Stegostoma tigrinum: one gene and its partners. The protein of the gene in region 1 purifies or fractionates together with the protein of each later gene. This does not show direct contact. Links are inferred from orthologs where the notes say so. Each region holds a gene or a part of one and is shown on either strand. Other genes may lie near its edges.

Evidence for each region.
Region 2: the proteins of stau1 (region 1) and hnrnpua purify together in Homo sapiens (affinity purification with mass spectrometry; 4 studies listed by BioGRID and IntAct, with this or other methods). This does not show direct contact. The link is inferred for Stegostoma tigrinum from reciprocal best matches to the Homo sapiens genes STAU1 and HNRNPU.
Region 3: the proteins of stau1 (region 1) and ELAV-like protein 1 purify together in Homo sapiens (affinity purification with mass spectrometry; 3 studies listed by BioGRID, with this or other methods). This does not show direct contact. The link is inferred for Stegostoma tigrinum from reciprocal best matches to the Homo sapiens genes STAU1 and ELAVL1.
Region 4: the proteins of stau1 (region 1) and heterogeneous nuclear ribonucleoprotein Q purify together in Homo sapiens (affinity purification with mass spectrometry; 3 studies listed by BioGRID, with this or other methods). This does not show direct contact. The link is inferred for Stegostoma tigrinum from reciprocal best matches to the Homo sapiens genes STAU1 and SYNCRIP.

Annotation. Positions count from the first base shown.
Region 1 is NC_081372.1:32,630,985-32,638,273, reverse strand, and holds the start of stau1 (double-stranded RNA-binding protein Staufen homolog 1), read left to right. Parts: upstream 1-4,005; 5' UTR 4,006-4,193; intron 4,194-7,289. UniProt on the Homo sapiens protein: Binds double-stranded RNA (regardless of the sequence) and tubulin.
Region 2 is NC_081362.1:86,362,116-86,369,689, forward strand, and holds the start of hnrnpua (heterogeneous nuclear ribonucleoprotein U), read left to right. Parts: upstream 1-4,452; 5' UTR 4,453-4,606; coding exon 4,607-5,324; intron 5,325-7,574. UniProt on the Homo sapiens protein: DNA- and RNA-binding protein involved in several cellular processes such as nuclear chromatin organization, telomere-length regulation, transcription, mRNA alternative splicing and stability, Xist-mediated transcriptional silencing and mitotic cell progression.
Region 3 is NC_081383.1:36,221,243-36,229,617, reverse strand, and holds the start of ELAV-like protein 1, read left to right. Parts: upstream 1-5,130; 5' UTR 5,131-5,289; intron 5,290-8,375. UniProt on the Homo sapiens protein: RNA-binding protein that binds to the 3'-UTR region of mRNAs and increases their stability.
Region 4 is NC_081362.1:29,837,751-29,845,908, forward strand, and holds the start of heterogeneous nuclear ribonucleoprotein Q, read right to left. Parts: upstream 3,369-8,158; 5' UTR 3,254-3,368; exon of another isoform or gene 3,086-3,253; intron 2,326-3,085; coding exon 2,163-2,325; intron 1-2,162. UniProt on the Homo sapiens protein: Heterogenous nuclear ribonucleoprotein (hnRNP) implicated in mRNA processing mechanisms. Component of the CRD-mediated complex that promotes MYC mRNA stability.

The DNA of each region.
Region 1 (7,289 bases):
CCTCGGGTTGTTTTACTTTCATTTTGTTTGATAATGATAAAATCTGGATTCCTTTAAAAAAGAAAACAGCTAGCATTTAGGAAGGGATATTTAGAATGAAGATGTAAACTCTGCAGCATGCAAGTCTCGACCAAAGCATCCTAGTCTCAGTGCATTCTTCACAAATAGGCTCTGTGGTCCTTTAACACACTTGCACAAAAGTTAATAACTCAGAGCACTTCAGTCAATTGTGCCACCCATACTACTATTTCTAAAATAGACAGGGAAAACACAATTTTGGAGTCTTCCTAATTTGTATGGATCAGAAGCTGCCATTCAAATCTAGTAGCAAAGCTGCATAATTTTATATAGGAAGGTATAAATCTATGTATGCCTCAGAACTTTCACTAGAATGTAGTTTTAGTCAGCAATATATCTAAAATACATAAGAGAATCACCAAATTTAAAGGTCTAAATCACATGTGTAGAGTATCTTTGAATAACAGTTTGTACCTAAAATCAATGAAGACAACCGATGGTGAAGGTAGATGAAGCCAAAGCTTAGTTGTGCAAGGGCGCTGTTGGAGTTAACTGAAACTGACATTTTACAGCAGAGAACTATTTAGCTTCCTGCTGCTTAACACATAATATTATCAATTTAGTATTTCATTATAGGCTTATTTTCATGCATGTAAAATGCCAATTCCAATCACTCATCTTTTCCCTCTACACTAACTGATCAATTGTTCACCAGGCTCTCACTCAAAAATAGGACTGCACAGTCTGCCATATAAAAATGATTTAGTTTTGTTTTTAACTTCCATTATTTTAAGTGTCAGTTTAGAACCACTTTAATCCCAAATAAACCTTTCCAAAGGAAGATTATCTGTAGTTAGTCAAAATACAACTAATACTAGATATGAAGCACTACTCGCTGTACCCAAATTGACCTTTCCAGAGGAAGATTGACAGCATACCAATTTAATATATAGTTGATTAAAAACCAAAAGAACTGTGGATGTTGTAAATCGGGAACAAAAATGAAAGTTGCTGGAAAAGCTCAGCAGGTCTGGCAGCATCTGTGAAGAAAAAAATCAGTTAACCTTTTGGATCCGGTGATCCTTCCTCAAAAAACACATCTGGATTTAAAGCCATACCACAAGTATACATCAGGTATTTCAAATGAGGAGCATGGTCACTAGCAGAATACATCATGAAATGACTGAATGCATTGCCATCATCCTCCAGGCAGGTACAAGTGGCAACCTTTCCTTTTGTAAGATTATAGTTTGTGCTGTGCTTTGGTTCCAGTTGTGTTTGCTGCAGAAGACAAGTATGCTGATTAAGTTCATGATCCTTACCCCACCCAGTCAAACAAATTAACTCATCTCTTGCAAAGTTCTTCCAGCCAGTCTCCAAAGATCATGGCTATCAGTGACTGTCACCTAGTTATCAATGTCCATAATTTTCTTATCTCACTTGCAGATTGCCTTGTTTCAAGATTTCATAACTCAGTAGCTAATTCACCATACAGAAGGTGTTTTTGTATACTGCTGGCCATCCAAAGCAAACTTTAATGACCTAGCATTGAGGAATAGTGATGGAATTAGTACATCCCAGCACCTCTGAGTTGGAGACTATGAATATGTCTGAAACAGGTAATATCAAAACCATTTGGCTTTTCCTAATACCTGCATACTTTATTAAATTTTCACCACTGTAGAGGATTGCACTGAGGACACAGGCTTGGGAAGACTTAAAAAGTTTAACATGCTCAAGTTGTTGTTCACACTCTTACGTGGAAACTGAATAACAGTTGCAGCTTTTGTAATCTGTGTTGATTTCTGCATCAAGTAACAGATTTCAGGACTTTATGTAATCTAGATAATGTGAAGCTATCAACAATCTACTGTGTTCAAATCACTGATATTCTTGGTGTTCATCTCCAATGAGATTTATCTCTGTTAATGCAGATTTTTCACCATTTAATGGATTTTAGTGGATCATTGTTATTGTCCAGCCTCCTATGAAATTATCAATGAACTATAAAACAAAAAAATACCCATAATAATGGTTCATACATCATATAAACTTAGTAATTGATATTGATTTTTTGAATTATACTGGCATTTATGGCAGTTGGTGCATTAATTTTGCCAAATGCAGTGTATTATCAAATTACGTGAAAAGCTCAATGTTGCTCTAAAACAAATATAAATTGTGCATAGCGAATATTAATCAGAATTTTGATATTGTGGTTTACTCTAAGGTGGGTATCCCCATCAAGACAGCCATTACAGTTTTTGGAAGATAGAAATGACTATCAATGCAGCCCTAGAAACTTTTTCTCAATCCTCAAAACGGTGGTCTTCTGGACAGGGAAAGGATACTAAAAATCTAGAAAAAAAATCCTACTAAACATTGCTGATCTGATGTTTTTCATTCAAAAGATATTGTGGCATAAAGCAACACCTGCCCTTTATTTGTATAAATCCAGAAAGTACATCAACTGATGGATGTGCAGCCATGTAAGTGAAAACGAGGGTCGTGGGAAATGCAACAAAATGAAAAACGTGCGATTTTGATCCAAAATTAGTTAAACAATTACCTTAGACAACATACGTACCATTATTTTTCCAAAACATTTCAGGACATGAAAATGTAATGTTCTTTTTAAGTAGAATTACAGGCCGTACAATTGTGTTTTGGAATGATGTTATCGTTTCACTACTTCTATTACAAGTTTTGCGAGAACAAACAATTTTCTTCTTACTCATCCGCAAACGCCTATCCCATTCAAGGTCGGCCACTGTCGCCAAAGTCAAATTTTGTTTCCGAATAATATTAGTTGCACAAGAGTGGTTATTTAAGTCTTAACTTTTACAGTGTGAGTAACTGGTAATGGGGATACCAGAACTAATAAGGAGTCAGGGCTATTGCCATTCTCATCGAGCCAGTTGGAAAATAGATTGAAACACCACCACAAACTTCGAGCACACAAAGCAGGTTACCGTTGCAATGTAGTGTCGGAAATGTCATTCAGGTTGGACGTTAGTGATAATGGGAACTGCAGATGCTGGAGAATCCAAGATAATGAAATGTGAGGCTGGATGAACACAGCAGGCCAAGCAGCATCTCAGGAGCACAAAAGCTGACGTTTTGGGCCTAGACTCTTCTGCAGAGAGCTGATGAGAGCTCTGATGAAGGGTCTAGGCCCGAAACGTCAGCTTTTGTGCTCCTGAGATGCTGCTGGGCCTGCTGTGTTCATCCAGCCTCACATTTCATTATCCTGGTCAGACGTTAAACCAGGTCTGAGGAAGGGATCACTGGCCCCGAGGCGTTAACTGATTCTTCTTTACAGGTACTGCCAAACCTGCTAAGCTTTTCCAGCAACTCCTGTTTTTTTTTGGCGATAACAAGGTGTAGAGCTGGGTGAACGTAGCAGGCCAAGCAGCATCAGAGGATTTTCGGGTCTCCAACATCGGCAGTTCCTACTATTTCTGCTTTGTTTTTGGCTCCTGATTTACAGCAGCCACAGTTGTTTCGGGACTTTTTTTAAAAAAAAATAGACGTTACACCAGCCAGCTCTCATATGAAAGACCAGATGCCCCTGTTGTAAGTAAAGTTTTGCACTTGTCGGAGGTGAGGCAAACCACCTCATCAGTGGCACTTTAGTTACGCGCGAGATATTTTCTCCGTACCGAAGTTTTTAAAAAAAACGCAAAATACTGCGGACGTTGGAGATCCGAAACAAAATGCAGAAAGCGTTAGAGAAACTCAGCAGGTACCGAGTAGCGTCTGTGGAGGGAGGAACCGAGTTAGCGTTTCGAGCCCATCCCCATGGCAAGGTCATTTCTGAACATCGGTGTTGCATCAGATAAACCCTAGTGTCAACTGCAGTGACTGAAACGCTGTACGTTACCAAGGCGACAGTGCGTGGTCGAGTCTCCCGCACACGCCCTCTAGCCACCGGTTTAAAGGGCAGTAAGGGGGCGGGGCCTCTGGTGGACGCGGGACGTCAGTTCCGGTGGCGCGCGGCGTTCTGGGAAGGTGAAGCGGTTAAGGTCGGTTCCGCCGCCGGTTCGTCCGATTCTCTTTAGTGTTTGCCGTGTGTCGGCAGCGGGAAGCGGCTCTTCTTTCCTGCTTCGCAAGCGAATGGATTGACTCGTTTCTTCAGAAATTCGGCTTCAAGCTCGCTTTTTTGAAGAAAGGAGGTAAGTTTCGAGTGAAAAGTAGAGGCCGGAGAGGAGGCTACGGGGCAGCGGCCCCCAGCGCTCGGTTTGTCCCAGGAGTTGGGACCCGGCGGATCCGGGCGAGAAACTCTGGAGGAGGGCAGTCTGCTGCGGTGAGGATGACCAGGCCCCACTGCCATCTCGTGGGCCGTCTGAGACCCTTGTGAGAACCCTGCTCCCCCTGGAGTAGACCACCAGCTCAACCCGGTTGGTTTTTGAGTGCTGATCTGTCCCATATCATCTGGTCAGTCCAAACTCAGGGCCCATAGTTTTCCAAAATTCTGACAGCTTCCATCATGCATCCATTTTCCGAAAGTTGGTAAATCCTGAGCAAGTGTTAACAACACCACCTTCCCCAGAGTATGCTAAAGAAATGTTATCTGCCCGAATGAAAATAATTGAAGTGTTGTCATTGGCTAAATCGTGCTCTACAACTGAGAATATCCTAAAATCTGCAAATTACAGACTTTTGGAGTGTAAACGTATCACATACCGTCATTAGCAAAGCTCTTTACCCCGATAAATCAACTGTTTGTGTCTTTCCCAACATCCTAATGAGCAAGTTTGGAGCACCGTTCCCTTTTTAAAAAAACTTTGCATACTAGTGTTAGATGCCTAAACTGTGTTCCCCTCTTCATGTGCATTCCTGATCCTCAGATATGGTCTCCAAATTCCAAGCGACTGCTTTTGGTTTTATTATTTCATGGTCTGTCTCAAGTTGTGAGCTTTGTTTTGTTTTAAGAAACATCTTTTTAGTAATTCTTTTTTGTCCATGAATTATAATTCTGTATTGGCTGGTTGGAATGTACACAAATTAGCAGTTATATGGATTTAAACTTTGAGATTTTCTGCTTCAGTGCTCTCCAGATTGTTGATTTCCTGCTTGTGTTGATTAGTATATTGGTTTCATGGTAATTGTGCAGGCATTACACTATAAAATTGTTGCAGTTAATGCTTGTGTTGAATTTTCTTGGTATTTTGCAGATGTAATCTTCACTAACAGAATTAGGAAACCTGATGTCCCAAGTTACCATTTGTAGCAATTACACATCAGAAGTTTGTGGGAAGTTGGAGATTGACAGGACTGGGACAAATGGGAGGTTGAACATTATTGTAGAAGTTATGATGTATTCTGAATTTCTAAAGCTGTTTGGCTAGGCTATGTGTCAGCCTACAAAGTGGGATGGGCTCACTGAGTGTGGCTAAGGTGACTATTTTAAGAGGCTTAAAGGATATGAAGAGGCAGGAATGTTTTGGGAAGCAGCAGTAAGGGAATGGTTAAATAGTCAAAGGCAGAATTGCTAATGATGATCAAAGGGACCCAAAAAAAAACTAAAATTGGAAACCTCTGTGATGTGTTGCAGGATTGGTAAGTGTTAGAGGAGTGGGCAAAATGAGGTTTTTCAACAGTAGGATAAGATTTTTGAATGTGTTGCATTAACTAAAGTGTCTATAGATCAGTAATGGTAGGATTATATGCAAACAAAGTCGGGGGTTGGATGTGGTCAGTAAGGATTTTGAATGAGCTGAAGTTCTCAGATAGCTAAAATTTGGAGTGACTGTGGCATGGGTGGGATTTTTGGAAGGTTAAGATTTAGATATTTTTAGGTTCTTGCTAAGCATATTAAAGTTACCAAATCAAGGTATGTGAACATTGCGGTAAAAGACCAGCTATGATGCTGAATGATAGAAGAAACCTGGGTTGAATAGCCTAATCCTATTCCTGTTTGCTTTAAATACATCACAGGTGGTTGAACCTTTTTATCTTGTTTTAAGTCCAGTAGTGTATTTCTGCCGGCACAATCACTGAACAAACGGAATTGCCCACTGTACTCTTGATCACCTGTGCTTTTTGTTGATGACTTACTGTGACTTTTTTGCTTATTTACTTCACCCCATTTCCTCTTGTAATTTCTAATAAACTTGCCATACCTGTTGGCAAGGGTTGTTCCTTTTGCAATTGATTATTTGCATTTGAAGTGAAAGTTTCTAATTTTTGATACAAAGCACAACCGTTTTCAATTGTGATGTTAGTTAAGGACCAGTATGTCATTTCAGAGAATAAAATCTCCTGTGACAAAATTAAAAATGGAACAGAGCTCTCCTAATGCCCCATCAATATTCCATTCAACCAAAGCTATTAGAAGTAGAGATAAGTGTGAAGCTGGATGACCACAGCAGGCCAAGCGGCATCAAAGGAGCAGGAAAGCTTGACGTTTCAGATCAGAAGGGTCCCAACCCGAAATGTCAAGTTTTCCTGCTCTTCTGAAGCCGCTTGGCCTGCTGTATTCATCCAGCTTCACAACGTGTTATCTCAGATTCTCCAGCGTCGCCAGTCCCTACTATCTCTATCAGAAGTAAATTTAGCTATTCAGTCACTTGATATGAACATGAGAAATAGGAACGGGAGGAGGCCATTCAATCCTCGAAGCCCATACAGTGAGATGATCAACCATTGCTGAATCTACTCCACACCATTTTCTTGCATTGTCCCAGTTTCCTTTGATATCATTAATATGCAGAAATGTGCCAATTTCTGTCTAAGCTTCCACAACACTGGGGCAGAGTATTCTGAACATTCAGCACCCACTGAAGAAATTCTTTCTCAATTCTGAATGGCCTCACATTATTCTACAACTCTTAATTTTTAATTTAATTTAATTTAATTTAATTTAATTTAATTTAATTTAATTTAATTTAAATTATATTAGATTCCCGACAGTGTGGAAACAGGCCGTTCGGCCCAACAAGTCCATGCTGCCCCTTGGAGCATCCCATCCCCCCCCATAACCCACACACCCCTGAACACTATGGGCAATTTAGCATGGCCGATCCACCTAGCCTGCACATCTTTGGACACTGTGAGGAAACTGGAGCACCTGGAGGAAACCCACGCCGACACGGGGCGAATGTGCAAACTCCGCACGGAGAGTTACCGGAGGCTGGAATCGAACCCGGGTCCCTGGTACTGAGACTGCAGTGCTAACCACTGAGCCACCGTGCCGCCCCTCTTGTCCACTGGTTTTTGACCTCCCCTTGCAAGGACAGACATCCTCTTGAATCTACCCTATCAAGCCA
Region 2 (7,574 bases), on another chromosome or scaffold:
GCTGCGGTCATCCAGCTCCACACTATCTCAGATTCTCCAGCATCTGCAGTTACCATTATCTCTGGAGGCATTGGACACTCCAAAGGCCGTGGGGCCCTGACATCATTCTGGCAATAGTTCTGAAGACTTGTGCTTCAACTGTGATACCAGTTTGGGTTCCAGCAGGGCCACTCAGCTCCTGACTTCACTACAGCCTTGGTTCAAATGTGGACAAAAGAGCTGAATTCCAGAGAGGAGGTGAGAGTCACAGCTCTTCACACCAGGACCGCATTCGACCGACTGTGGCATCAAGGAATCCTCGAAAGACTGGAATCAATGGGTATCAGTAGGCAACCTCTTCACTGGTTGAGAATCACACCTGGAACACTGGAAGATGTTTGTGGTTGTTGTACTTAATCATCTCAGCTCCAGGACATCTCTGCAGAAGTTCCTCAGGGTAGTGGCCTAGGCCAAGCCATCTTCAGTTGCTTTATCAATAACATTCCCTCCATCAGAAGGTCAGAACTAGGGATATTTTCCAATGATTGCATAATGTTCAGCACCATTCATGACGCCTCAGACGCTGATGCAATAAGACCCGATCAAAATCCAGGCTTGTGCTGACAAGTGGCAAGTAACATTCATGCCAGACAAATGCCAGGCTATGACCATCACCAATAGGAGACATTCTAACCACCATGTCTTGACATTCAATAGCAGTACAATCACTGAATCTACCCCTATCAACATCCTTCAGTTACCATTGACAAGACACTCAACTGAATTCACCACATAAACATTGACTACAAGAGCAGGCTTAAGGCTAGCAATACTACAATGAGTAACTCATCTCCAGCTTTCCTAAAGCCTGTCCACCATCTACAAGGTACAAGTTGGAAGTGTGCTGGAATGTTCCCCACTTGTCTGGATAGGTGCAGGTCCAACAACACTGAAGAAGCTTAACACCATCCAGGACAAAACAGCTGCTTGATTGGCACTAATCAACAAACGTTCATTCTCTCCACCACCAATGCTTAGGAGTAGCATTGCGCACTGCAGAAATTCACCAAAGCACTTAGACAGTACTTTCCAAACTCATGACCAATTCCATCTAGATAGTTAAGGACAACAGATACATGGGAACACCACCACCAAGTTCCCCACTGAACTACTTACCGTCCTGACTTGAAATATGTCATCATTCCTTCACTTTTTCTGGGTCAAAATCCTGGAATTTCCTCCCTAATAGCATTGTGGCTCAAACCACAACACATGGACTCCAGTGGTTCAAGAAGGTAAGATCACTCCCAACTTTTCAATGGCAGCTAGGAACAGGCAATGAATGCTGGCCAGTTAGCAATGCCCTGGTCCCATGAATGAATTAAAAAAGTGTTCTCCTAAGAATTTGGATCCTGTACTGGGTGAAATGTGCTGCTAAGTAGCCTTATCATCTCGTAGAGTTAAACAATATATGCAGTTCGACTGTTACGAAGAAGTCTGGCTTGGGCTTCTATTATGATCAAATAACTCATCAGCAAACAACACTGCAGTGAAAATGTTTTTACTGAGGGGGAGCAGTAAACAAAGGACATTTTTTAAGAAAATAAAATAAGTAGTCGGGAGATGAAATGCTCTGAGCTGTTCTGTTCTAATGTCATACAAACCATAAGAAATTGACCACTTGACCCTTGAGACTCTTCCACCATTCAACAAGATTATGGTGAAAAGACTGTGGTCTTAACTCCACTTTTCTTCCTTTATCCTCTAACTGTTGACTGCCTTATAATCAAAAATCTGTCTAATTCAATTTTAAGCATATTTAATGACCCAGTCTCAACTATTCTCTGGAGTTAATACTCCCAAAAACTAATGGCCCTCAGAGAAGAAATTCCTCTTCATCTCCATCTTAATTGGACACATTATTTTAAAACCATGTCATGTAGTTCTAGATTCCATGATAAGCAGATAACATATACTCAGCATTTGCTCCGTTTAGCCCGCCAGAATCATATACATTAAGATCATCTTGCAGTCTAATAAACTCCAGTGGGTAGAGACTCTATCTTTTTAGCTATTCCTCAGAAGAGAACCCCTTCATCTTTGGAATCAACACAGTGAATCTTCTATGAACTGCCTTCACTGGAAGCATAACCCTCTTACATAATGAAGCCAAAAAGTATGCGAAATTATTTTACATGAGGTGTCATTGACTCTTCTATAAAGAAAGGTTAGCAAGTCTTGCCAATTTACAGTCCATTCTCTTTGCATTAAAGGCCTATATTCCATTTGCTTTCTGAATTCTTTGCAGTATCTGCAGAGATGTTTTGTGATTAGTGTACAAGAATATCCAAATTCCCCTGTACCACACCATCCTGCATTTTTTCTTTTTCTTGGAATAATTGGAGACATCATAACCCCAGTTTTTTTAGCTAAGTGAGGTTGGCTGTCATTTTACGATTCTCATTCTTTTGCCCTGACTTTTTCCTTTAAGTACAAGTTATCTTTTGAATTGCAATTATCTTAAGACCATGTGATTTGCCAGACCTTAGACATTTACCAGAGATTCTTTCCCCACAGCGCTTAACATTTAAAATTCAATTTCTACATTTTCTACAAGGTTACATCTCTAAATCACATGAAATCATTAGGCATTTACTACAAGGAAATTACAAGACAAACCAGAAGCAATAAGAAAAGACAAAGATTTGTTTTGATCTCCGATGCACTACCTGTAAGGGTGGAAGTAGTAAATTCAACAGTGACTTACAAAAAAGAATTGGATAAATGTTACAGGTAAAAAGAAAAGGCAAGGCAATAAGAGTAATAAAAATAGTTCAATATAGCTCAACCAAACAGCCAGCATAGGCACAATCTCCAAATGACCTCACTCAGTCCTGTATCATTTCTATGGTTAGGATTACCACAGATCTAACTTTGAACTAACACTCATCCTAAGATTTATAACCATGTATAGTGAACACCAAACCCAATCATCTTAAAGTTCAGAATTTATTTTTCCAGATTGCTTCCCTGTATCATCAAGTAGCAGCCTTAATTGCTATTAAGGCTAGTAATGAATTTTGATTAGTGCCAGAGGAAACATCAGAATGCAAGATATGATACCCACTCCTTTATTCTTCTAACATCTTGAACTTGAAATTCAGCAGCAATTCTACCTTAAATTCAACTCATTGATCTCTGCATAGAAACACTGTGTCATTTCCTTTATTTATACAGTTGCTACATACTAATGTACAAAGCATGCATAGTTACTACTTTAGATTTCCAAACTAATGTGACACAAATAGTAGGTCAATCAGTCTATGCAGTTTATAACTTAGCAGCCTTCCAGTTATCTCTTTTAATGCCAATTCCCGACACTTTACTCGTATAGTTTTCACCACATTTGATCCCTATCTCATGAGAAATTCCTGCTCTTATTCCTATCTTTTATTTATTTTGCTCTAAGAGATCCATAAGATGTCTGAGATTTTTCTATCATTTAATAAGGCTGGCTGAGCTTTGACTTTGATTTCCTTTCTCTCTCATTCTTTTTGATTCCTTTAACAACCAAAACATCCAATAGTGATGGCAGATAACCCAGAGCACTCTGGGCTAAAGAATTCCAAAGATTCATAACCTTCTGAACAACGGCATTTCCCCACATCTCAGTCCTAAATGTCTCATTCCTTCTCCAGAGACAGCAATCCCTAATTCTAGATTATCCTGCTGGGGAAACAATCTGTCAGCGTCTATCCTTTCAAGCTGTCTCAGGAACTCACATTTCAACAAGTTCATCTCTAATTCTGATAACTTTACCCAATAAGGGAGGAAAAAGCTATTATTTGATGTTGAACAACATCTGACTTAGTAGTAATTATATAAAGGTAAAGTTGCCATGACCTCAGAGGACCCTAATGCTGCTGTCTCATTAGAGATGATTGGTGGAGTTTAACCTGAAGCTCATGACACCTCAGACGAGGAGCGAGATTGAGAAGGTGGGACCCTCATAGTAATTTACGAGAATTGAACCCAAGCTGTTGCATGATAAAGCAGCTGTCTAACCAACTGAACTAACCAATCCCCATGGTAGATATAAGAGTACAGGCTATCATTAGTGTACTATGAAAGGTAACCCATTCCTGCGGATGATATGAGGGGAAGCACGTTGAAGAAGAGAGGAGCAAAGGATAGACTCTCAAGCACAGCTATCTGCAAACAGAGTGCTTCAAATGTCATTATTGATGCTTGCAGATAAGATATGCCCAGTAACTGATATCTCCAACCAGACACTAATCAATAATGACAATGACCATATCTTCCCCCCCCCCCCCCCCCCCGCAGTAATCCAGCAGCAGCTTTGTCGATGATGCATAGGCAGTCAGTGGCATTGGGTTAGTAATGTGCCAGCAGCTCTGTCAGCAATCTCCCTGCTTCTCCAGCAGAGGCGCTCACTCTCGGGGGTTTACGGTAGGCCGGTGCTGACCCCACACTGAGTCTGCGCGGCGCGGAGCCGAGCCGAGCCGAGCCTCGAGGAGCCGGGTCGATCGGTGCAGGGTGACGGAGCCCGAATCGAAGCGGAGCCCGAGGCCGGAGCTGAGCCCGAGTCCCCGCCATCGTCCTCACCATGAGCGACATCAACGTGAAGAAACTGAAGGTGCCCGAGCTCAAGGATGAGCTGAAGCGGCGCGGCTTGAGTGTGCAGGGCCTGAAAGCCGAGCTCCAGGAGCGGCTGCAGGCCGCACTCGACAGCGAGGCCGAGGAGGAGATGATGGAAGAGGAGGAGGAGGAGGAAGACGGGGGGCCCGGGCCGCTGGAGACCCCCGAGAACGGCGAGGAGGAGCTGGAAGACGAGACGGCAGGCGGCGAGGAGGAGGAGGAGGAGGAGCCGCCGCAGTTGGCGGGAGGAGACAAAGCCGAGGCCCAGGCGCGGGGCCCGGGACTGAACGGCGCTTCCCTGGCCGCTGGGCTGGAACCGCCGGCGGCCGTAGTGAGCCAAGTCCAGGCGGAGGAGGAGGAATCTCAAGGAGAGGCCGAAGTCCTGGTCCGAGCCGCGGGAGGGGGAATGGACGACGAGGAGGAGGAGGAGGAGGAGGTCGAGAGCAAAACAGGCGAGAGCGGCCTGGGCGACGAGGAGGAGGAGGAAAACGGGATGGGAGAGGCGGAGGGAGCGGTACCGGAGCCGGCCCGGGTCCAAGAGCAAACCCAAGTCCAGGCTGAGGCGCAGCAAAGAGCGGGAGAAGAGGAAACAATGGAGCTGGGGGACGGCGAGGCGCGGGCTGGTGGCAAACAGGAACCTGAGGCCGCTTCGGTCCCGGCTCCCGCCCCTCAACACTCCAGCAAAGGTGGGGGAACCCGCCTCCCTTCGCCCGGGGGCGGGGAACCTGGGCTTTTTATTTCTCATTCATCCGTTTTATTTCACAAAAAAAAACTAAAACATCAACGAGCCTCAGAACCCATCACTTCCGGCGCCTCCATTGGGCTCCGGCTGCTGGGCGCGCGTGTTAGACCGTGCCCAGGGGGTGGGGGGGTGGTGGAGGAGGAGCTGCTTCAGCCTGAGTCCCAGTCTCTTATCAGAGAGAGACTGGATTTAAAATGGGAGAGTGGATTGGAGGCGGGGGTGGGTGGTGGTGTGGGATGAGGATACAGGATGGCTGAAGGAAGCCACTGAGAAAATGGAGGGTGGAAATAATGCAAACCAAAATGGAGTAGCTCAAGGAATTAGGAAAAGGTTGTAGGGGGAGGGGAAGTGGGAATAGAAACAACTTTGCACCTTCTCTTTTATTTTGCTTTGCATTTGCTGTTCGATGTTTTAGATTAGAAAATCACTTCCAGCACTGTCAGGCCAGATAAGCCACATGCTTTTATCATTTTCTGAAGAAGGGCCTAGGCCCAAAACGTCAGCCTTCCTGGTCCTCTGCTGTGTTCATCCAGCTCTACACCTTGTTATTGCAGATTCTTCAGTATCTGCAGTTCCTACTATCTTTTATATCAGAGCATTTTGATGAAAAGTAGGCCGTCAGGTTGGAGTGGGGATTTAGCTAAAACATAAGGTCAGGGCACCTTTAGGGTACAGTAACTTGGCTGTGTCTCTGAAGAAGTGCAGGGAAGGGCTGGAGTTGCATGTATAGCTTGCATCTGTGAATGTTTGGTCAGTTTGAAGTTGAAGCTTCATCCCATCCTGGATTTCATCCAAAAAGTTTTGGAGGAGTTGAGTGGGTTAAAGTTGATTATGAAGTAACTGCATGTGTGAAATGTGGTCTTAATTCTGTGGTTAAATGGAGATCACTTTTAGGTTTAGGGCTAGTAATGGATTCTTAAACCTCCCAGAAAAACTATGGGACCGGGTGGATAAAACAGTGGGAATGGTTTAGAAAAGCTTGCAGCCAAGCACATATAGCCCCAATGTGTGGGAAGGCTTTGACAAAAACTGTGGGTTGCAAATGATGAAATTGGCTAATGCATTGTATGTGCAAGGCTGCGTTTACTCTGTAGCTTGGATGGTAGCTTGATATCGGGTCATGGGAGAAATTAAGTTTATTTTAGAAAACGACAATGTCTTTGACAACATGGAAGGCAAACAGTCTGGAGGTATGTTGCTTGTGAGTGTGGGTCCTTGAGTCAGAGAAGAATTTTTTGTGTTGGCAATATTTTTATACAAGGTAAGCGTTTAGAGAAGGTGGGCCACTTTCAATGGCTCCTAATGGCAAACTTCTTTCATGTTTCAATCTTTGAAAAATCTATGATCTGTAAGGAATTTAAATTATAAATATAATCTATAGAATCACAGCATCTGCTAGGTAATTCAAGTTCTAAAATAGTAATATTTGTGTTTTTTTTGCTAAAAGTCAACCCTAAACTAATATAAATCGTCTTTGCCTTCCCTTCAGCATCATGTTCATCCAAAGCTGGAAATTTGAGTGTACAATTTGTAAAGTTCCCTTCCCCCCAACAGCAATTGATGTATAATTAACACCTGTATTGTGTATTTAATTATACTTGGTGGTCGATTTTGCATGAAGCAGAATATTGCATGGTAATTGTGTGATGTAGCAATCCTGGCAGTATATAGTAATGATACATGCAGTGCATTATCAGTCATGAAATAGTCATTCACAAACAACTTGGCTTCTACAGAGTGTGCTATGTAAACATTGCATGGGATGCTGGACTGCAATATCGATGTACAACTGAGACCAAGTGGACACCGTCCTGTCTGAGAAAAGGTTGAATTGAATTTCCACTGTCCAGATTTGAAGAAAGCAGCAGTGTTTAATTTCACTGCTTTGGTGTGTAGCAGATGTAGTTATTTAAGACACCTTGTGCTGCTTGGCAAACTCAATTTTCTGGCATGTAGATAGATGCATATTGCTTATGAAGAGCTTTGTTCGGGCTGGTTTGTTTTGAGTATTTGAGAGCATTCAGACTTGGTGAAATCCTATTTTGTTAAAGTACCCAGGCAATTTGTACACCGTGCATTGTCAAGTCTGATAAGATATCTCATTGTTTTGTTCAGCTCCATCACTTCTTGTGGACCAACTTTTCAGCAGTGACCGTTGAGAACATTTGAAATATTTTACATACCCAGAAGACAT
Region 3 (8,375 bases), on another chromosome or scaffold:
GTTTGTATATGGGGTTCAATTCTATAGGTTTGTCGATTGCATTGCAGGTGACAATCATGCCTCTAGGAATGCCTGTGCGTATCTAGGATTGGCTTGGGCTATTCTCCTTACCTTGCCCCAGCAAGACTGCCTTTTAGTAGCTCAGCAGCACCACCTGTAGGAATGTAACAATCAACACTGCTTGCTAGCTTGCATCTATCCTGGACCCACTGGCGAACACACCCGCATCTTTTACACTGAAGAAACAGATACTGTGTAGAATTGGTGTTCTGTGCGCTTCGTAACATAGTTGAGAATTGACTATATTTCTTTTAATAGATCTCACTCTTAAAAGTAAGGTGTATATAATGTATCATTTGACCTATCTCATTCATTACAATCACAAATCATACTCTAGATTAAACGTAAAATTGAGATTGTGAATCATTACTTCCACCATGAGCATGTGGGTGAATACACACTGTAGAACTAAACATCAAGTCGGATGGAGGCAATTTATATAGATCATGGTTGATCAGCAACATGACCACCATCTATGCACCATGGTTCCAAAGACGGCCTTCATATCCTCCGATGGCACTGAGCATGGTGACGAAACGTCTGAACGAGAACCAAAATCTGAACTCCATTTTAAAATTTGTAATTGACCTTAACCTAATAATTTGTCTGGCCTTCCATACAAGGATGTAGAATAAGGTAGGTACACTATGCAGGCTCCAAGTCCACTACAACATTAATTATGGCTGATCTGCTTCTATTCCGAATTCCACATTCCTATCTACGCCCAATTATCTTTGATAAAAAAGACAACCTGTGAGAAGTGATTTCAATCAGCTTCCCTGAATAGCCTAGCTGTTATAGATTCTTGTACAGCAAACTATTGGGGATTGAAGACAGCCAAGTCCACAGGGCCTGAGATAACAAGGTGTAGAGCTGGATGAACAGAGCAGCCTTCCTGCTCATCTGATGCTGCTTGGCCTGCTGTGTTCATCCAGCTCTACACCTTGTTATCTCAGATTCTCCAGCATCTGCAGTTCCTACTATATCCTCCACAGGGACTGATGGCCTATATCCTAAGGTCTTAAATGAAGTGGCAGCAGAAACAGTGGATCCATTGTTTATAATATTCCAAAATTCCCTGAATGCAGGAAAGGTTCCAGTGGGTTGTAAAATGCAAATATAATGCCCTTGTTTGAAAAGGGAGACAGGCAGAAAGTAGGAAACTATAAACCAGTTGATTAAACATGTGCCATTTGGAACTGGTTACAATCCATTCATTAATAACAGGATATTTTAAAAATGAATAACATTTGGGACGTCAAAATGCACTCAAGAGTCAGCATGATTTTATTTAGCGTAAATTCTGTTTGACTAATTTGCTAGAGTTCTTTGTTGATGTAACAAGCAAGATAGATAATAGGAATTTATAAGTGTAGAATATCTGGGACTTCCAGAAGGCATTGATAAGGCGCTGCACAAAAGGTTAATCCATGAGATAGGATCACATGAGGCTGAGTAATTTATTAGCTTGGATAGAGGATTGGCTAACCAACATAGCATACGGTGCTGAGGAACAGTCACTGACCCAAAATGGTAATTCTGATTTCTCTTCATAGATGTTGCCAGACCTGCTAAGTTTTTCCTGCAATCTCTATTTTTGTTTCTGATTTACAGTACCTGCAGTTTTTCCACATTTTATTCAGAGGATACATCAGACTTTTTCTGATTTGCAGATGTCTCTAGTGGTATGCACAGATTTTGATCCTTAGGACACAACTATTTACAATCTATATTTGTGACTTAGGTGCAGGGAAACAAAGTACTAGAATGAAATTTGTAGATAACACTAAAAGTGGGAAATATGTTGCAATGAAGTAATAAGAATTTTACAAGTGGAAATCGATAGGTTACATTATGGGTCAAAATTAAGCAGATGAAGTTTAACATGGATAAAAAAGATTACCTATTTTGATTAAAGAAATAGGAAAGCAATTTATCTAAACAGAGAGAGAAACTTCAGAGTGCAGAGGGATCCAAGTGTACTTCTGCAAGAATCCGAGAAAATGAAGATACATGTACCACTGGCGATAAGAAAGGCAAATGGAATTTTGACTTTTGTTACTAAGGAAGTAGAAGAAAAAGTAAAATGTTTGCTGCAACTGTACAAGGTTAGCGAGATAGCACCTGGAGTATTGTATTCAATTTTGGTCCTTTTACATGAGGAGTGATGTAGTTGCATTGGAGGCAGTTCAGAAGAGGTTCACTACATCAATTCTGGGATGAAGTGTTTGTACTATGAAGACAACTTCATCTAAAGTCCAGAGTATATGCCCATAGAACTGCCTACTCACCTCATCTGTCAACTACTGATGTTTTCAAAAAAACTGAGAACATCTTAGTTGGACCTAAGAAAGACAGATCGCTATTTTCTCACTGTTCAGAAAAGGAAAGTGTGGATGAGGAGAAAGAGATTTATGGATGTAAGGATTGGAATGAGGTCAGCCAGCTGGACTGCATGCTTTCCTGGAACTTCCCTGTTTCCTCGCTGGACTTTTGAACACCTTTGAAAATGAGATGGTCACATTGATTGCTTTCCACCATACTCCAAATCTCTTTAAAAATTTCTCAATTTTTGGATGTCATCAGACTCATGTTCACAGTTTCCATTTCCTTTTACCACCTCTTTGGTCTTTCTGTAGATGATAGTCAGCCAGTAAGAGGTAATTGTAAGAAAAGAATACCAGCTTGATGTTAGTGGATCTGGCCATCCATGTGACACAAATGGAAAGTTTATCCTGCAATGGACAGATTCATCTGGCCTTGACCAGATGTATCCAAGCTGCATTCCATCTCCAAGGTTGAAGATGTGCTGCATAAGGCAGCATCTTTTACTGTTTCCATTAGTAGCATGGAGGTGGCTTCAGGACTTTTACATTCAAATAGGATGCCACTTGTTCTACATTGAACCAAGTGCAATGGAGAATCATCCTGAAAAGATATATAGTAATGATTCCAAACACTTCCACATTATGCACACATGTAAATTAAGGATTCACAAATGGCACACCCACAACATACGTACCTGGGGAGAATACAGGATAGGAATCCTTCAATTCGCTGCCCATCTTCTCACTAAGTATTTGTTCTACATTACAATAATTCTAAATTTCAAAAAGTACTTAGTTAATTATAAGGCATTTTGGGGCATTCTGAAGTAATGAAAGAGAATTAAAGCGTGCATATTATGTAGTACTATTCACAAACTTAATGTTCTACAAATTAAATTACCACTTGGAGAGTGGTTGCCATTGTAACATAGTAAAGTTAATAAATAAATTGAATTGTTTCTTTCAGATTTCCATCCTTAATGTAACATACAAAAGCAGTGATGTGATATGAATATCAGAAATATTATTTTTGAAAAATCCCTGAAAAATTATGTATTACTTTGAGTGAGCTCCAACTTTAGCTAGATTGAATTTAAATACAACTTGCCTGAATCTTTGCTTCTGATACATACAGCCTCTCAGCATTTTTAAAGCTATATTAAAAAAAAACCCCTCTACCAAGGATCATCCAAGGAATATTCAATATAATGCACTATTGAAACGATCTGCACAACTGTTGCCAGACAAAACTACTTTTTTGTTTTCACCAAACCCATTATATATTGCTACATCAAGGCTGATAATGAGATCAACATATAAAAACCAAAAGACCTGCGGATGCTGTAAGTCAGGAACAAAACCAGAAGCTGCTGGAAAAGCTCAGTTCTCAGTCCTCAGAACACCGGACCCGAAACGTTAAACTTTGTTTTTGTTCAATCAATATACGTGTTTAATATGCTGTAGTTACACAGTCTTTCTACTATGTGTCTTTACACCCAGTCTGCCACAATTTTCAAGAATGTATCGGCTTTTCGTTAAATCACCCTGAATTGCTGTGGTTGTATTTTCAATGCCAACGGGTACTCTTAACAGCATTCCACCGAAATGGTGATCGCACCGAAGATAAAATGCAGTGATAATGGGAACTGCAGATGCTGGAGAATCCAAGATAACAAAGTGTGGAGCTGGATGAACACAGCAGGCCAAGCAGCATCTCAGGAGCACAAAAGCTGACGTTTCGGGCTCTCTGATGAAGGAAAAATGCACATGCATTATGGGTTTACATCAACAATTATCACTAAATACAGTTAGAGATTTATAAACTAATAAGAAGCTACAGATACAAAAAGTTTTAATAAAGTAAATGAAGTACGAAAACTCCCCTCAAATATCTGTATGAGTGGTCTTAAAACACTTGGGTCCCCCAAAATCTTAAGTTAAACAAAACGCTCAGGTTGGCATCAGTTATATACAACGATCTCCTGGAAGGAACATGGATAATTGCCCAAACTGAACGTGCAGTTCAGAAAGCCTAATACTTATCAACTTTGAAACGTGTCAAGAAATCATTGGTTTACAGATTAGAGATGGATGTTAGGGACTATTATGTCTCGGATAGCAATTCCAAACGTTAAAAATAAAGGGATAACAACTTTGAATGAATAGCAACCTCAGGCTACCTGCAGAGCCAAGTAAAACATTTAAAAGCTCACGCCTAATTTCAATTTACTAAAAGAGATGAAACTGAATGGCGAAGAAACTCAACAAACGTGAACTTCGGGCGATAGAAGTAAAGTTAACCTTCGAAGTCCGGTAAGGCTGACTCTTTGTTTCAGAACTGTGTTGGCTTACATTCATTTAAAAAAATACTTTTCGACAATATGTCGAAGAAAGTTGAGGCAATTTCAGTGATATTTCTATCTGGTTGTCAACACGTGACCATACTAATACTTACTTCAGTAAGATTGAACCGTATCACTCCTAACTTCCAAATAGCCGGGTTTAAACAATTTGATTGACAAACGAACCAGGTTTTCGTGAATCGCCTCTTTCACGACTGGAAGGAAACGCCGTAACAAGATTTCATCGTAGGCCGCTACCCTTTGGGCCAATAGGAATTGTCGATGACCGCAAAGTGTATAACTGACGTTCGTCGTAACCAATGCACTTGAAGAAGTCGTGGAGGCGCGGGTGTGATGGATAAACAGATTATCCAATGGAAGAGGAGGGGGTGGTGCTTCGCTTGCTGGCGGCGCGCGGGGTTGACTTTGTTTGATTTTAACGGATTTTTTTTCCGCCTCTGCGCTTGGCCTGGGCTTTTCCCCTTTCTCAGCTCGAGTCCCGGAAAGACATCAGTGCTGCCGGCACTCTCACCCCGTACCGAGTACGGGGCTCAGACAGAGTGAGTGTGAACTTGTCGAATAAGAAAAATAATATGAGAACTCGACGTGAACTGGGAAACAGGCCCAGGCCATGCGGCACAGGGGCCTATGCTTCTCGAAGTTAGGCCTCGGCTTTGGAGAGATTGGTCACCCCCAGACAGAGGCACTGTTGGCTAGAAGGGTGAAGAGATGGAGTGATGGACGGAAGACCGGGAGTTTTATTATGCCTATTATGAGGAAAATGCGATGGAGACTAGTGGGCTTTCTAGTGGTAGGGAAAAGGAAATCCTAACTCGAGATCGGGGATGTAAACCGGTGGTGTAGGCCCTTTTAAAAAAGAGCGACGGTTGTAAGATGGAAACAGAAGAGGAGGGTGGAGGTCCCCGGTGGATGGGATTTTAGTGTCCTGGCGGCTTCAGCCCACAGAGGGAAAAGGGTGGATGGTGGAATGGGGCCAATGCATTTGTTAGAACAATGCGCTTTGCGCCCGGGCTTTTGTACCCAACAACCTCCAATCACTTCATTGAACAAAGCCCCTTTAAGCACGTATTAATAGCAAAAATAAGTCTTTCAACCGAACGGAAATGTTATATTTATGACCTCAATGTTAGCAATATCTTCTCAAAAACGCTTATTAAACATTTGCCTAAAACCCACACGTCCATTACATAAACTTAAATTTCCAAATGACTGACTTCCCTCTTCGTCCCAGAAATTTTTTTTCAGCAGTTCTTTATTCACCAAATTTCGGGTAAATTATCAATTGATTGCAAATGCGTTGCACACGAATGAATATGTAGATACGGTTGACTTACCAAGTGAAGGTAGTTAAAGCATGCTATGTCTGTTTCTGAGATAACAAGGTGCAGAGCTGGATGAACACAGCAGGCCAAGCAGCATCAGAGGAGCAGGAAGGCTGACGTTTCGGGCCTAGTCCCTTCTTCAGAAATTTCTAGGCCCGAAACCTCAGCCTTCCTGCTCCTCTGATGCTGCTTGGCCTGCTGTGTTTATCCAGCTCTCCACCTTGTTCTCCAGCATCTGCAGTTCCTACTATCTCTATGCCTGTTTCTTGTTCTTTTTAAGGTTTCATCTTTATTTGCAGCTACCCACATTAGCAAATCTGAATGACAATAACACAGTTAATCACATTTGTTCTTCCCAGGAGTCCGTTTTTTTTAATATATAGGGCTGCTTTGAAATGTTGAAGATTCACCAGCTGTATGACACCACTCTTTCCATTGTCTAGCTCAGATTGCCTGATTCAATAATATCATTGATCTAGATTCGTGTTTACTTCGACTCGGATCCATTGGGTTCAACTCATTCATGCCAGCGAGATTGCCTAAACTGATCTAGTCCCATTTGCCAGCATTTAGCCCATATCGCTCTAAGCCTTTCATATTCATGTACCCATCTGGATGCCTTTAAAATACTGTGATTGTACCAGCCTCCACCACTTCTTCTGGCACCTCATCCCATACATGTACCACCCTTTGCATGAAAAAACTGTCCCTCAGGTCCCTTTTATATCTTTCCCCTCCTATCTTAAACCTATGCTGTCTGGTTTTGGACTCCATTTTGCAGTTTCCTAAAAACTGAAAGCATCAAAGATATTAAAGTTGGTGTTTGTAACTCAGCGCATTTCTAAACAACTTCTCCAGAGGATGATAATACAAAACAATTATTATAAAGAACAATGTGTTCAACAAGAGCTTTTTTCAAAATATAACAAGGTTCTATAAACTGAAATGGCAGTATTGGCTAAAGTAGTGGTTGAGTGTAGAATTCAAAATACAGTTGTTGGAAAAGCTCAGAGATAATGGGAACTGCAGATGCTGGAGAATCCAAGATAACAGTGTGAAGCTGGATGAGCACAGCAGGCCAAGCAGCACCTCAGCACCACAAAAGCTGACGTTTCAGGCCTAGATTGAAACGTCAGCTTTTGTGCTCTGAGGTGCTGCTTGCCCTGCTGTGTTCATCCAGCTTCACACTTTATGTTGGAATAGCTCAGCAGGTCTGGCAGCATCTGTGAAGGAAAAAATCAGACTTAACATTTCTGATCTAGTGACCCTTCTCAGAACGCTGTAGAATGTTGATCAATCGCTGGTGCGCCTTACTGAATTGCTTAATATTTGTTTTATTTAATTTTATTTCTGGCAAAGACAATGCATGGCAATGCTTGTGATTAAATAACATACCACACAGCACCAAGACATTTTTGCGAGGGGTCTTGAGTAAAACCATGTTGGAGTGGTAAAGTATAATTTCTGATTGTGGGCCTACTCTTTGATGCATTTGGAGGCTTTTAAATTATGTAGATTATTAATACCAAAGTTGGTTGTATTTTTAAAGGCGTGGAGAGTGCAATCAATTTGCACTTGTACAGTTCCACCTTGAAAATATTAAAGATGATTTATGGGGCAGAAAGAAGTAGTACAATAATATAAAGAGAATGTAGCATCAATGCTAAGAGTTTGGAGTGTGTCAATAAGTGGTAATGATTAAAATAAAATGGAGTATCAGGACAAAGATTTGAAGTGCAGTCTGTTGTAAACATGTTACCATTCTAGATCAGAGAAGGCAGTAGTGGTATGTGTTTGGAGTCCAGGGACGTTCAGGTGATATTTGATCGTGTTTCGCTATTGAAGTGTGGTGTAAGTGTGAGCTTCCAAGAACGGTATTAGAGTGTTTTTCACTTGAATAGTACATAATCAATGGGTTATTACATAAGGTAGCAATTTGCAGCTCCTGTCTGCTCTGGCTGTCCAAATGAGCATGCAGTTGGTGCTGTTATGCTGCTTTTTTTTCCCATAATCCTGCATATTGATCTTTTTCGAACGTTTAATTAAAGTTGCCTCCAGCATATTCTCTGACAGTGTGTTCCAGACCGAAACCACTTGCTGCATGAAAACATTTTCTCTGCTGTTGCATTTGCTTCTTTTATTGAGTGCTTTAAACCTGTGCCTCACTCATGATTCTGTCCTAGTGCAGATGATTTTTCCATATCTACTCTGTCCAGATCTCTAATTTTCTATATCGCTATCACATCTCCTCTCTACTTTGTCATCTCCAAGGAAAACAGACCTTACTTCTCAAATCTTTTCTT
Region 4 (8,158 bases), on another chromosome or scaffold:
AAGAGAGATGCCCAGTAGGTCCCTTTTTAAAAAACACTCTCTCTTCACTTTAAACCCATGTCCTCTAGCTTCGGATTCTCCTACCCTAGGGAAAAGATCTTGGCTATCCACGATTTTATAAATCTCTATAGAATCAGAAAATTAAAATTTTAAGAGGAGGCAAAAACACAGCTGCGCTTCCCCCATGTCTAACTGGAGCTGTCATTCTCATCCAGTACTGGACACTGCATAATCCGTCTGAATTTAGCAGAGGAGTCAAGAGAAGTCATGATAAGCTAGAGCTGGGTGCCAACCTTCACGTGAAAACATACCCCGCATCTTCAAATGGGGGGTGTTGAGCAGCAGCACGTAGTTGAGAAGTAAGGGATATAAAGATAGATCCTGGGGAGACACCAGAGGTTATGGTGCTGGGACAAGAAGATAGTGCAAGTGATTTGGCATGAGAACAGTCCCACTTAGCAGAATGACAGTGGAGGTGGTATAGCAATTGTACAACCAAATAAAGATGTAGACCAGGGCAATGAGGATGAAGGAGGAAAGTTTACCATCATCACAGCCACTCAGAAACCAATTTGTGACTTTAGTAAGAGCCTTTTGGCACTACTGCATGAACAGAAGCCTGAGTGGAAGGATTCAAGCAAAAGGTTTGGGAATTCAAGAACAGATATGGGAGGTGGCAATGAATCTGGAGGGTTTTGATAAGAAAGGCAGGTTGGAGTTGAGCTGGAAGTTTGCAAGGGCAGTCAAGTCAATTTTTTTAAAAAAGGTTAGGGTGATGGAAAATTTTAAGTAAGAGGGAGTACTATTGAGGGATAGAACTCATCAATTAACATGGAGGCCTTCAGGCGATTAGAGTGGAGTTGGCAAATCAGCAGTAATAAGTTTCACCAATAACAGAAGAGACAGGACAGACATAAGTAATTTTAAGAAACTTCAGGGGATTCCAATATCCAGCATTAGGTTAGGCAGTTTTTCAAGCAGAGTAGTGAAGGACATTTCCCACCAATTTCAGAATAACCTATAGCTGAAGGCTCAAAGGCAATATTTCTTCAACAAACTTTCCTGGAAGAAGCAAAATAACAGGTCTATGATATTCAAAGATGAAGGGAAAGGAACCTTTTGTATTTAAATTTTATTCATGGAGTTAACTAGATGAAAAACAACTTAGAGCTCTTACCACTAGATGCTGCTAAAAATATGGAGATAAGAATTGAGCAACAAAATCTAGGCCGTATGTCAGGCAACTAATCTATCAGAAATAACCCCTCAGTGGGTGTTGATGATCCCATGAACCTGTTGAACAGCAGACACTCTCCTAGCCAACTGTAATCTCAATTAACATTATTGCAATGATAAGATGTTGAGCTGGATGCACAGCAGGCCAAGCAGCACAGGAGCAGCAAGGTTGACGTTTCGGGCCTAGACCCTTCTCTAATATTACTGCATGATTTGTTTTAACAAGTTTCTTGTTAAATGGAAAAAAGACTGGTGGGTTTAAATCTGCCTATACTTCAATAATGACTACAGTACAGAAGTATTTTATTGTCTATGAAGCATAGTGGGACATCAAGATTAGCATGGTTCACATTCTCTAAACATCTTCAGACTAAATAATAAAACAGTCAGAACGGCAATAAGAACAAGACACAGTTCTTTTCTGCTGTGATTTAAGAGGTTGAAGTTAACTTATGACTCAGCAGGCTCTAGCAGAAACCAAACAACTCAAAGGAAGCAAATCATGATCCGTCTCTGCAGGCTTAAATGTAACACTGGGCAATGCCAGTGCCTGCATGACAATATGGTGAATTTCAACCTTTCAAGAAAACTATCCATTTTGTTCTCTACGTGAACGCTGGCTCTGAGATTAACGCAACAAAAAGATAGTTGTTTTACTGATCTTGTCACCTTATTCTTGCATACATATTTCCTTTGTCTATAAATAGATGAAGATCACTTGCAGGATGAGTCAGTCCAAGCCACCCCCTGTATTCCACGAGAATGCCAGCAGTGTTCTTTCCTTGACGTATCCCCATATTTTTAATGGAATTGAAATTGCATAATCAACACAAAATGGACACAAGAACGTATCAAACTGAAACAGGTAACAAATTGATAGCAAGATAAGTTTTAGTACAGAGTACTCATGCAGTTTGCAACCATACCTGCTAAATACATCTCATCTAGCTTGTCCGCAACTTTCTTTGGTAAACCAGCACTTAATAAAGTTTGATAGTGTTCAGATCGAACAACGGCAGTGGAAGTATCCATCGGCTCTTCCGTACCATTTCCATTCATATGCTCGGTAGCCATTTCTTCAGTAGACATCTGTACACGTGTACACATAAATGAAAGCAAAAATAGGCGCGGTAATGTCTTAGAAATTGATAGCCCTAAATTGACAGTCCTAAAATTATTAAAACATTTAGAGCGGAAAAGGACTAGACATGACCAAGCTGGCTAGGAATCATATTGCCAGATCCGTTTGCAGTGATCTCAGCTTTAGTCATCGTTCCCAGCCCAGCCAGCGAGCTTGCATTAGTAATAGACTCCAGTTCAAAGATAAATGACAAATGATAAAACAAGCCTTTTCGCCTCCTCGAATGGAGCACGATAGCGAATACCGGTTCACGAACATATGTCTGGGATGCGGCAACAGCGGGAAGTGCCGGCCAACTAACACTCCGTCCAGTAACTGGGAAAGGGATTCACCGACACCACTCCAAAGTAGTCAGGGCCACGGAGGGGGAAGGTCAGATCGGAGAGACGGGGGAAAATAAAGGAAGTCAACGCGGTCCTGTCTCGTTCCAGCTTTCCCCTGCCATCCCGCAGCCATGTGACATAGACAAAGGCTACAGTCCGGCCTCGAATCCCGGAGCTAAAAACTCCACCCCTTCGATTTACGGAGTACACACTCTGCTCATTCAGTACAGCAGAGGTCTCAGTGTCCAGGCCCCGGCCCACGCCTACCCAGAGTGAGGCTCCGGGTCTGCCTGCGGCCCATGGATTCGCTGACACTGCTCGATTTTCGGGCACGGTACCAGCCCCCTCCCACCCCGAGTTACAACCAGGGACAACACCAACTCACATGCTGCTCTATGCCAGCAAAGTCAAGTAGATGTGATGCCGGCTGATACTCCCCAAATCCCTCCCTGTCAGTTGAATTACTCTACCTTCCCCTTTCCGTTCTCTCACACACCGACCTACAAAATGGCGGCACGGCACACACCTCCCAAAGCCCCCAAGTTCCACTCACGCGTTCTCATGGTGGGGTCTCCCGACCTGCCCCGCAAGGACATCATCAATGGTGGGCGCGGCCCCAACGTCAGGTCCCGCTCCCTCATCTTTTCCATTGGGTACAAACAGCTGGTGACCACGCCCCCAAAGATGAATGACAGGGCTCCAAGGAATGCATGATCACGGAGTGGAAAAGCCCCGGCTCATATCGAGCTGCAAACCGTTGAATCTTTTCTTCGTAAAGGATAAAGCCAGTGCCATTCCTATTTAATCTTTTAGATCAGATATCAATGCAGAGATTTTGTGAGGCACCCTCGCGAAGACCAATCATAGGGTTGTACGACTATAGAATGAAACCATCCGGCCCATAAGATCGTATGATTTCGGAGCAGAATTAGATCATTCAGCTCATCGAGTTTGCTCCGTCATTCGATCATGCTGATATGTTTCTTAAACTCATTCTCCAGCTTTCTCCTTGTAAACCTTGATCCCTATTCTAATCAAGAACCAATGTGTATCTTAAATTGACTCATTGATAGGACCCAACAGCCTTCTGCATCAATGAGTTTCACAGATTCACCACCCTGGGCAGAATAAATTCTTCCTCATCTCAGGTCTAAAAGGTTGTCCATTCATTCTGAGGCTTTGCCCTTGGGTCCCAGTCTCTCCAACTAATACAAACATCTTCTCCACATCCACTCGATCGAGGTATCTCAGTATCCTGTAAGTTTCAATCAGATTCCCCCTCATCCTATTTGCATGTTTTCCCTCATCTCTTTGTTTCCTTTCCAAGAGGTCACCTGGGTGCCAAATCCTCTAGGAGCAGTCTGGAAGGCAAAGCCGGAGTCTGTTTAAGTGCATAACAGTAAACTTACTGGTGCAGAGAATACTGCAAAACTAAAAAAACTAATTAATTTTAAACAATTAACTAGGTAGAGGTGGCAGGTCAGATCATGTGTTGCAGCTGCATGATGTGAGAAGAACTAGCTGATCCCATCGAGAACAGCAGTGACCACATCTGCAGCAAGTATTGACTGTTTGACCTCTGGCTCAAAATTGATGAGCTAGACTCTGAACTCCAAACACTGCGGCACATCCGGGAGGGGGGGGCGAGATACTTGGATGCTCTGTTCCAGGAGGCAGTCACACCTAGTAGATTAACTAATGTTAATTCAATTGGCAGGCAGGGACAGCAGTGTGTGACTGCGAGTGAGGAAGGTAGAGGGACCCTGCCGAGAGGAACACAGGCACAACAACCTCTGACATTGTCCCACAGGTATGAGGCACTTGCACCCGTGGATGAGGCAACTGACCAAGACTCCATGGTCCAGGAGGCCATTCAAGAGGGGGGAGCTGAGAGACAGATCATAGTTGTAGGGGATTCCATCATTGGGGGAAAGACAGTATCCTCAGTAAACAGGATAGAGAATCCTGCATGGTGTATTGCCTGCATAGTATCAGGGTGTGAGACATCTCCAACCAGCTTGAAAGGATACTAGAGAGGGAGGGGAAGGATCTAGTTGTTGTGGTCCACATCGGTACCAACAACATAGGCCGGATGAGGTGAAAAGACCTGTTTAGGAATTATGAAAAGCTAGGAACAAAATTTTAAAAAAAGGTCTTCAAGGGTCATGCTCTCTGGATTGCTGCTCGAGCCACGTGCAAATTGACATAGGGAGGTGAGGATCAGGGAAGTGTACACGTGGGGCACTGGCATCAGTTCTGGAACAGGAGGGATCTACACCGCTGGGATGGATTCCGCCTGAACAGGGCCGGGTCCAGTGTTCTAGCGAAAAGGGTAAATAGGGTGGTCAATAAACTAGTAAGCGGGGAGGGAGAAGGGAGGAGTAAGCGTACAGGGAGTATAACAATTAATGCAAGGCAAAACAGCAGGTTAGCGGGTGACAAGGAAGCTTCAACTCCATTGAAAATTAGGAAAAAAGGTAATGGGAAGGAGAACTCAACAGCTGTTAGTAATGGAGGTGATTGGACTGAGAAAGAAGGTGCAAAAGCTGGCATAAGGGCACTTTATCTGAATGCTTGGGGTATTCGAAACAAAGTGGATGAGTTGAGGGCACAAATCATGGCAAATAGGTATGATTTAGTGGCCATTACAGAGACATGGTTGCAGGATGGTCATGACTGCGAGTTAAATATCCAGGGGTATCAAACTGTTCGGAAGGACAGACAGGAAGGTAAGGGAGGCGGTGTTTCTCTGATTTTTAAGGATTATATCACGGTGGTAGAGAGAGATGATATAGGTTCTCCTGAACAAGAAGTTGAATCGATTCAGCTGGAAATTAGGAATAGCAGGGAGAAGAAGTCACTGATAGGTGTGATCTATAGGCCTCCAAATAATGACATCATTGTGGTACAGGCAATAAACATAGAAATAGCTAATGCATGTAAAAATGGTACAGCAATCATCATGGGGGATTTTAATCTACATATCGATTAGCCAAACCAGGTCGGTCATGGCAGCCTTGACGAGGGATTCATAGAATGCATCCCTTGAACAATACGTAATGGAACCTACAAAGGAGCAAGCTATCCTAGATCTAGTCCTGTGTAATGAGACAGGAACAATTAATGATCTCAAAGTTAGGGATCCTCTCAGAACGAGCGATCATAGTATGGTCAAATTTAAAATACAGATGGAGCATGAAGCATAAATCCAGTACCAATGTTCTGTGCTTAAACAAAGGAGACTATGATGGGATGAGGGAGGAGTTAGCTAAGGTAGAATGGGTGCAAAAACTTTATGGTGTGTCATTTCAGGAACAGTGGAGGACTTCCAAAACAATTTTTCACAGTGCTCAGCGGAAGTATATTCCAATGATAAGGAAGAACTGTAGGAAAAGAAATAGTCAGCCATGGATGTCTAAGGAAATAAAGGAAAGTATCATATTTTTTAAAAATGCATACAAAAAAAAGCAAAGATTAGTGGGAAACTGGTAGACTGGGAAATCTTTAAAAGGCTATCAGAAAACCAGAAAAAAGTTAAAGAAAAGTAAGATAGATTATGAGAGTAAATTAGCTCAAAAAATATAAAATCAGGCAGCAGAGTTTTCTATAAATATGTAAATTGGAAAAAAGTGACAAGGTAAACATTGGTCCTTAAGAGGATGAGAAGGCCAATTTAATAACTGGGAATGAGGAAATAGCCAAGGCATTAAACAGTTACTTTGTGTCGGTCTGCACAGTGGAAGACACAAATAACATACCAAAAACTGATCGCAAGAAGGTTATAGCAGGTGAGGACATAGAAACTATCATTATCACTAAATAGGCAGTGCTGGGCAAGATAATAGGGCTAAAGGTAGACAAGTCTTCTGGCCCTGATGAAATGCATCCTAGGGTACAAAAAGAGGTGATGGGGAAAATAGCAAATGCACTAGTAACTATGTTCCAAAATTCACTGGACTCTGGGGTTGTTCCCACAGATTGGAAAACAGCCAATGTGACGCCACTGTTTAAAAAAGGAAGTAGACAAAAGACGAGTAACTATAGGCCAGTTAATTTAATTTCGGTAGTGGGGAAAATGCTTGAATCCATCATTAAGGAAGAAATAGCAAGACATCTAGATAGAAATTCTCCCAGTGGGAATACCTAGCATGGGTTCACGAAGGGTAGGTCATGTTCAACTGATTTGGTGGAATTCTTTGACGACATTACTTGCATGGATGGGAGTTTGCTCGCTGAGCTGGAAGGTTAGTTTTCAGACATTTCGTCACCTTTTTTTATTTGAAAAAATGTACTTTATTCATAAGATGTACAAAAAATAAAACATATTTATACACCTACTCAGTCATGCAAGCTGCTCCGGGTTACCCAGGGGGTACACACATCAACTAAAGGAAAAAAACAAACAAAGAAGAAAAAAAAACCAAAAAAAACAAACAAAGAAGAAAAAAAAACAAAGAAAAGAAAAACACCCCGGCAGTCGTCACCCTGCACAGTCCCAGTTGGCCCCCTGACCAGTTGGGGAAGGCGCCAGCTGGGCCCAGTTACCAGATAGAGCCCTTTTTTCTATTCTGGACGAGGGGTTTCATACCGTGGTCTTTCCCCACCGCGCCTTGGCGGCGGCTGCCCCAAGCTTTAGTGCGTCCTTCAGCACGTAGTCCTGGACCTTGGGAGTGCGCCAGTCTGTAACATTCGGTCGGGGTCAGTTTTTTCAGCTGGCAGACCAGCAAGTTGCGGGCAGACCAAAGAGCGTCTTTCACCGCATTGATGGTCCTCCAGGCGCAGTTGATGTTGGTCTCAGTGTGCGTCCCAGGAAACAGCCCGTAGAGCACGGAGTCCCGCGTCACGGAGCTGCTCGGGACGAACCTCGACAAATACCACTGCATCACCCTCCAGACCTCCTGTGCACAGGCACACTCCAGAAGGAGGTGATCGACAGTCTTGTCCCCCCAGCAGCCGCCTCGAGGGCAGCGTGCGGTGGCGCAGAGATTCCGGGCATGCATAAAGGATCTCACTGGCAGCGCCCCTCTCACTACCAGCCAAGCAATGTCCTTGTGCGTGTTTGAAAGTTCTGGCGATGAGGCATTCTGCCAAACGACTTTGGCAGTCTGCGTGGGGAACCACACGACGGGATCCACCCTCTCCTTTTCCCGAAGGGTCTCGAGGATACTACGGCCTTGTGGTCAAAGGTGTTTCCTTTCAAAAATTTCTCCACGAAGGACAGGTGGTACGGAACGGTCCAACTACTCGGAGCGTTCCGCGGCAACGAGGCCAGGCCCATCCTTCGCAACACCGAGGACAGGTAGAACCTCAGTAAGTAGTGACACTTGGTGTTTGCGTACTGAGGATCTACACACAGCTTGATGCAGCCACACACAAAGGTAGCCGTCAGGGCGAGGGTGGCGTTCGGTACGCCCTTTCCCCCATTTACCAGGTCTTTGTACATGGTTTCCCTGCAGAC